Linked DNA regions of Tribolium castaneum. The protein of the gene in region 1 binds, or shares a complex with, the protein of each later gene. Links are inferred from orthologs where the notes say so. Each region holds a gene or a part of one and is shown in the gene's direction. Other genes may lie near its edges. The genes, in order: me31B and exu.

Evidence for each region.
Region 2: me31B (region 1) and exu share a complex: the UniProt entries of both Drosophila melanogaster proteins name them as parts of the osk RNP complex. The link is inferred for Tribolium castaneum from reciprocal best matches to the Drosophila melanogaster genes me31B and exu.

What each region holds. Positions count from the first base shown.
Region 1 is NC_087402.1:3,103,309-3,107,235, forward strand, and holds the start of me31B (ATP-dependent RNA helicase me31b), read left to right. Parts: upstream 1-1,493; 5' UTR 1,494-1,628; exon of another isoform or gene 1,629-1,766; intron 1,767-2,050; 5' UTR 2,051-2,172; coding exon 2,173-2,225; intron 2,226-2,279; coding exon 2,280-2,361; intron 2,362-2,592; coding exon 2,593-2,761; intron 2,762-3,546; coding exon 3,547-3,927. Other genes in the region: KIF-binding protein, read right to left, coding at 1-238, 284-485. UniProt on the Drosophila melanogaster protein: ATP-dependent RNA helicase which is a core component of a variety of ribonucleoprotein complexes (RNPs) that play critical roles in translational repression and mRNA decapping during embryogenesis, oogenesis, neurogenesis and neurotransmission.
Region 2 is NC_087396.1:24,605,822-24,609,748, forward strand, and holds the start of exu (maternal protein exuperantia-1), read left to right. Parts: upstream 1-1,214; 5' UTR 1,215-1,359; intron 1,360-1,503; exon of another isoform or gene 1,504-1,552; intron 1,553-1,607; 5' UTR 1,608-1,614; coding exon 1,615-2,388; intron 2,389-2,456; coding exon 2,457-2,645; intron 2,646-3,903; coding exon 3,904-3,927. UniProt on the Drosophila melanogaster protein: Ensures the proper localization of the mRNA of the bicoid gene to the anterior regions of the oocyte thus playing a fundamental role in the establishment of the polarity of the oocyte. May bind the bcd mRNA.

The sequences.
Region 1 (3,927 bases):
TAAGTCGCGTACAACCGTTCAGCCTTTTCGAGGTAAGTTTTAGACTTTTCTGGCTCTCTTTGCGACCACAAAATCCCAAACTGGTTGTACATATTCAATGTTACCATAACCACTTGGGGCTCCTCTGTGCAATCCTTTATCAGGTCTTCACACTTTGCCAAATAGCCCTCCCCAGTCGATAATTCCTCAGTGGCAATTGAAGTCATACCAAGATACAGGTACACACTTCCCAACATTGCTAAAATTATCACCTTCAGGCAAATTTACAACAATGTGGCACCACCTGTTAGTTTTATCTTGTCATTGTCTGGCTGAGTTTCTATCACATTTTCTAGACTCGCTTTCATGCTGACTAGGGTCTCGCTGGCCGCATATTTCGACACGAAAGGCTGATTTTCAGGGTCGTATTTACTGTCCTCGAGTAACTTAAGGACCTTATTGAATTTTTCCTCTAAATCGACAAAAACCTCCTTGCTTGCAGTCATGACGTATACTGAAAATTATTGCAAAATGTAACTCTCCAAAAATGCGGCAATACAGTTATTACCGAAATCTCAATTTTTTGCTAAAATTCTGTTTATTTGTTATTAAAATGACCGACAAATTGTAGGTTAAATAGCTGTCAAATCATGGATGAAAAAGGTGGTGCCAGGGTGGTGAAACCTAAATGCACCAAGCCAAGTATAGGCGCCAAATTCAAAATCGACTGTAGTTCGGCTTGCTATCGCAGATGTCGCACACACGTATAGTCAATTTTAGCGAAGCTACCTATAATATCGGCAGAAATTAACAGTGGACCTGTGACAGTTGCCATTGTGTAAATCGCCATTTTGTGCTTGGTTTGTTTGGTGTTCGCCTTCGGCTTTGTTTTATGTGAAATTAGTACTGTTTTGTGGTTTTTTTCGTGTGTGTGCTTTTTTGAACTTTTTTATTGTGGGAATATAAATAATTTGATGGATCAATCATTAGTTTATAGTTATCGTATCGTGTATATTGACTAGTGATAATAAATTTTTATTACAAGTTTATTGTCTTTATTTATTCTCATATTTTATTTTTCGTATTCTTTGTAAATATTCAGCAACAATAGTTGTCTAACATCAGAAAGTGTTATTAGCAACTATTGTTGTGAATATTTACAAACAATACGAAAAATGCAATCAAACTTTAAAAGAAAAGTAACTACGGGCAATTCAAATCGCCCGCCGATAACGCTTAGTACGCGCTGGCAACAATAGATGTGCTAGTGACACTTTCGCTCTATCGGGACAAGGACAGATGCGTTTCTGTAAAACCTGTTATTCTGTGGGTGGTGCCAGAGAACAAGGTGGTGCTGTGGGTGGTGAGAAGAGAACAAGGTGGTGCGCGCAATTTGAACGCTTTTTTGTGAGCTTTTTACATGAGTGGTTACTTAATTTTATTATGGTTGAAGGAGACGGACCCTATCAGGGGCGCTTTGTTATCACTGCCATAAAAAAATTGTATTTTTTGGCCAAAAATTTCAAAAATTCTTTGATTTTTTCCGATTGTTTCTCGCGCCATCTCACGGGTTGTCCTTTGGTTAGCGGAGCATCCTGGCATTGCAGATTCGCGGCCATTGTTAATTGCTGAAAGTCATTTTCCTTTTGGTGAGTAAAGCGTCCATATCAGTGGTAAAAGTTATTCGAAAAGAGCGATTTGATGCAAAAATCACACATTATGAGCAATGTCTGAGTATTTCCCAGGGTGTCTCGACGGTATTCCTTAAATTCTTTGTCCAGAATCAGGTAAATTTGCGTCGTTGTGCAATAATTTATGTGTAGTCGACGGTGCACTGTACACAAGAATCAGTAGCCATTTTAATTAGAAATCTGAATCCTGTTTATTTGTTGCAATCGTCGAACTTTTGGCCGTTTTTGAGGGTTTTATTTCCGTATCGCCAGTGAATGTTCATGACCTGGCTATTATTGACACTGCAACAATTACGGGATGTTCTATTTTTGTGGTTATATCTATTCCGTATTGACCTTAAATTTTCTGCGTCATTGATGTTTAAACTGGGATTTTGCAGATTATTATCGTTCCTGTGAGGGATCTTAGGAACTGTACTTATCCTACACATTGTAGAGGAAGAAGATTTGGGTTTTATAAACCCTATTTTTTAATACACTTGCAATAGTATTTTCTACAATTATGATGACGGACACATTGAATTCGAACCATGTGATGGCTTTGTCAGGCAAAGTGTAAGTTGTTTGCTTATCATTAAGAATGTGCGGTGACGAACCGCTTCCTTGCAGTGATATTGACACCAAAATGGATGACATGGGATGGAAAGCCAAACTGAAGATTCCACCCAAGGATAGGAGAATACAGACCAGTGTAAGTTAAAACTCACTGCTTTGTACGTTCACGGTCACTTGGAAGGCTTTGGGTCACTTGCATGTCTAAACCGGGAATAATATTCAAAGCTTTCCATTATTAACATGATGACACTATGGATTCCCCTTCATTTTTCTTATAAATGATAACGTCTTGCCTGATTTCATGCATTTCTTTCACCATTCGTGCAAAAAAGGTGTTACCGTTATTTTATCAAGTATTTGTTACTAGGATGTGACTGATACCAGGGGAAATGAATTTGAAGAATTCTGCTTGAAGAGAGAATTATTAATGGGTATTTTTGAAAAAGGGTGGGAGAAACCGTCTCCTATCCAAGAAGCTTCTATTCCAATTGCGTTATCTGGCAAGGATATTCTTGCAAGGGCAAAAAATGGCACAGGTATGTTTTTTACTCAATGTTTAGTGCATATTTAGTAAGCCTGTTCTGTTACTCAATAATTGGATGGGGGGACAAATATGCAAAACTAATGGCTTGATTTTTGCTAATAGTCATATTTATTTTTGAATATGACGCAAAAAATCACATACAGTAATTTGCGCTTATGAAATACCAGCTCGAATAAGTGGGCGCTATAAATCAGTCAAGCTACTTTATTTGGTAATTTAGTTCGCAGAATTGAGCTTTTTTGTACAAAATTTTTTTAACAATCAAGTCAATAATAAAACGTTCTCTTTTTTGTAATTCTGATTGTACTTTCTTAATTTACTAATTTACTTGTGATGTCAAAAAATACGTGTTATTATTAAACTGTCCTATTCTAAAAAACACGCGATGTAAAAAATTAATTTGTGTTTTTTTTTATATTTTCTTTCACTACATAAGCGGTAGTTCGAACCGAGACACAGACAAACACCAGAAATGTTAAAATCATCGTTATTTGTTCACTGCCTATTGTAAATTGGGTGACCTTGTTTACTTGTATTCGTTATGTACTCGAAATACATTACCTCTCTAGCTCACTTGTGTTTGTTTGCTTATCTTTTTTGGATGTAATACTGTTTATTGCATTTATCATTATACATATATCATATCAGATATACCAAAAACTGGAAATTAGTTACAAATCAATATTTTTATAATAAAAAAAGACAAAGAAGAGGGCCAAACTTTTACAGACATAATCTAAAAATTGGCTGTCAATTATTGAATGCTTTGGTCTTCAGGTAAAACCGGTGCGTACAGTATTCCCGTGTTGGAACAGATCGATCCCAAGAAAGACTGCATTCAAGCACTGATCATAGTGCCTACACGAGAGCTCGCGCTTCAAACGTCACAAATTTGCATTGAGCTCGCTAAGCACTTGGACGTGCGCGTGATGGTAACGACCGGTGGAACAAATTTAAGAGATGACATAATGCGCATCTACCAGAAAGTACAAGTTATTATAGCAACGCCTGGCCGCATCCTCGATCTGATGGAAAAGGGTGTCGCCGTAATGGACCAGTGCAAGATTCTAGTTTTAGACGAAGCCGACAAGCTTCTCTCACAAGACTTCAAGGGGATGCTCGACACTGTGATAAAGAACTTACCGCAAGAGAGACAAA
Region 2 (3,927 bases), on another chromosome or scaffold:
TTAAAGTTTAAATAAGTTTAAAATAAGCTCCTTTTTATTTGTTAAAAATATTCCTACCTTATAAGTTAAGTTATAAAATACCATTTTTGTTTAATTCTGATTATAATCACACAAAAAATCTGTAGGTAAGTGCAATTCATTCCATTTTAAATACGTAATTATTAGCAATATTGTCCATAATATAGGGTATATTCGGATTATGTATGTAGATTGCACTTGCAACAACCATAACTTTAAATTTAAATCGAACTTGTGTTTTAATTAATTGTGTCTAAAAAAAACAATTTGGTGTTGAAAAAAAAATGAAAATCTCCATGTGTCTTGTTTGCTATACAGTACGATATTATACGATATGACGTGAACAACACCGGAACCAGATGCTCGTCTATTCCGGTGCTGTTGCCTATCAGCGACGTTTTCTTTACACAGGTGTTCATTGTAATAAGGACAGTCATACGACGATACTTTTTACACAAACACCTTTACGACCAATAATCGCTCCTTAAGTCACTGTTTTTTTTAAACTCCACAAAAAATTCATTAATTACTTCAAAACCCCCCCAAAAAATGCAAAAACGAGTCAATATCCAGAAACTTCTACGTAAAAATCTGGTGCCTTTTTGTTTTCAAACTCTTCTAGGTACTTGCTTTGAAATTAAGTTGGCCATTTTAACTACGAAATTTAATAAATGTCAGACTTGTAGTCAATAATTCGGTGTTGCCAACATAATGCCAAAGACATAGGCCACTTTGATCAGAAACTTAATTGAAAGCTTCCTATAAATAACTATTTGTATAGTATGGCAAAATTTGTCCATCTTTCATTAGACTCGTCTTAAATAATTAGCCAACAGTATAAATTTTTGTATTTAATTATAATTATAATTTCAAAGAGAAAAATTATAATTTTAAAGCGTGCTAGAAACATAGGATAAAGAGAGTAAAAGATTACAAATTAAATTTTTAATTTCTGATATGGGGCGACATCGGTTGGTGAAGAGTTGTAGCTCAAGTTCACTCGTGTTGAACACTTGTGTAAAAATTTCTGTAAAGTCGGATAAACATAAATATTATTCATGTTTTTTCACTTAGTTTAAAGTCTCTGGAACGTGGTGGAAATTTGCTTTTTCCCTTTTTCAAAAAAATGGCATTTTCTAAAAACCCCAAAACAATTTTTGTCACAAACTTTCAACATTTTGTTGGCCACTGTTTAACCTCCTACATGGATCAAGTTAGCGGCTGTTTCAAACAGCTGATCTAATCCCAGCAACATATGTTTTTGTTTACACAAAAATTCACTTGTTTTTTAATCGTGCTGTCAATCGAATGCGAATCAATCATTTTCTAATTCTAAAAACGGTAAGTCCTCAATTTCAAATTCCGCGCAGTACATGACGTACTTCCGTCTCTCGCCCCCACCTCATTACCCTACACACGTGCAAAATGCATTTTCCACAAAATCACAGCTAATGTTACTAGTGTTCTCACACCTATATTTTCTAGTCTCAAACTTTCCCAACACCTCAACCCTTTACCCAAGAACAAACTTGTGGTAAGTGTAATTATAAGCTTGGGCGTGTCGTAAAAATGTCGCCACGTGTTTCCAGAACCAGCATGGTCCAGAACGACAGTTCGAATTCAGGCGACGAGGGCTCGCCCCCAGTAGCCGCCCCCAACCCGGCCAAGGGCATTCCTTTGGGGAAGTACCGCCTCGTGGGTTGGGGGGTGGACACCACCGGACGCCGCCTCATCGACGAAATCTGCCAAATCGCCGCCTACAGCCCTTCAAGTCAATTTTCCCAATACATCATGCCCTTCTCAGATTTAAACCCTTCGTACCGTCGCAAACACAGCATCCGTGTAGTCAACACGGGTCGCTATCGCATGCTCAAAGACATGCGATCGAATAAATTCGTCAAGACCAAGAGCGACGTGGCGGCGCTTACCGACTTCCTCGAATGGCTGGAGAAGGTGCAAGGGGATGACGCCCACGACGGCATCATCCTCATCTACCACGAGATACGCAAAGCATCACCAGGCATGCTCCTGGAGGTCCTACGCAGGTACAACCTCCTGGAGCGTTTCGCTAAAATTGTCAAAGGCTTTGCGAACGGTTTTAACATTGCTCAAGCAAAATGCGCCAAAACCACCAAATCGTTCAGTCTGAGAGTCATGGCTAAGGTGCTCCTCAACCGCGAAGATGAAGATTTTTCCAGTGCTGTTGACCGAGCGAGGGTTTCGTATGAAATTGCGGCGCATTTAGCGCAAGGCGAACGCCAGGATTTGGACGAGAAGAAACCCACAGGAACCGAACCCGAAATTATTAATTTTGTTTGCCCGTTTGTTAATCCTATTTCAGCAGAAGAGGATGAAATTGCACAGTTTAAGGTCAGTTTTTCGATCAGTGATAATGATAAGTTTATCGTGACTTATCGCAAAAAAATTTTTGATTTCAGGTGTTGCTAGAAAGGCAAAACACTTTCCGCCCTGTTTTTGGTGCCTTATTGAGAGCGAGTCGCCCCGAAAGACAGCATGCAACGCATTTGAGACGACTTTTGGCCGAAAATAATATTAATTATGATAAATTGAAGCAGGCGTATGAGGATGGTGCAAAGGATGGATTGGATAAGGTGCTAAAAAGTGAGGTAAGTTATTCTACAGAATGTTCCAGCGAGTTGAAAAAGTTCATTATTCATACTAACCCCCTTTGATCTAAAATTATTATTTTCAAATATACAGGGTATTTCAGAAATGAATTCCATTCCAAACCCATTATTATTTTTTTAAATGGTACACTATATTTTTTTACATTTTTGGTTGTAAATTTTAACACTGATTTTCTTAAGCTACATTATTATTAGTGGAGTTTGCTTAGTTTTTGAAATAATTTGTTTTTTGTCGAAAACACGCTTTGTAAAAAAAAATATTCTTAAAAAACTAAGAATTCCATAAAAGAAGGACTTTCACCACTTTTATTTTTTTATTTTCGCAGTTAAGTGCCTCTTCTGATTACTCAAAGATTTAACTTTATGCTTTGTTGATTTTTTACGTGTCAAATTTGCCCTATCCTCGAGGTTATCCTTAATAATTACTATGGAAATGTACTAAAACGTCTGAATTTTTTTTAAAATGTCAATTTCATGTCACATTTAAATTTTCTAGTAGTCGCAGGAATGATTTCAGAATTGGCGCGAATAGAAAAATTCTGGTTAATTGTTATTAAACACAGTTATTTTTTGAGAAAATTTACTTAAAAATGTAAAAACAAACCCCCCTTCATGTTGACGTCACTAATTTTCATCAAACTATGCATTCAAAGCTACCTGTGATCAACATGACCTAATTTAATCGCAGACGATCAGAGGTCAATGACCCTTGGGGGTTATTATAAACACGAAAAAATAAAAAAAAGTATTAGAATCTGTGTAATTACCTTAACGGGATCTTTTTCTTCTCTTGCTGTCGAAAGCAAGGTCTCCAAAACAAATGTAAAATGAGAAAAAATGAAACTTTTCCAGTCACTAAAACCACCCCTCGACCACACTTCACTTGAAAAATTTCACTCGGTTTACACATTGTTTGTAACTAATTAAATTGGACAATGTTGTGACTGTAGTAACCGAACAAAAAGTCTTGAATTTTCAGTTTTGTACAAATTTAAAAACGACGCCACCACTCTCGCGCATACCCCATTTTAAAACTGTTGGCAGTGGTGTCGCAACGTCTATTGGCAACGAATGCACGCGCGAAATTCAAAAAAATGTTCGTATTTTAGTTTTCGTCCTAATTCAGTAAGTTTTTGTCCAATTAAGCCCAAAAAGGCTCAGTTAACTTAAAAAAGTAGTTTATTTTTCAATTTCATTTTTTCGAGTTGCAATTTTTGCAATACGATTTTTTTTTCAGGTAGCGAACGCCAAAGAGACTGAA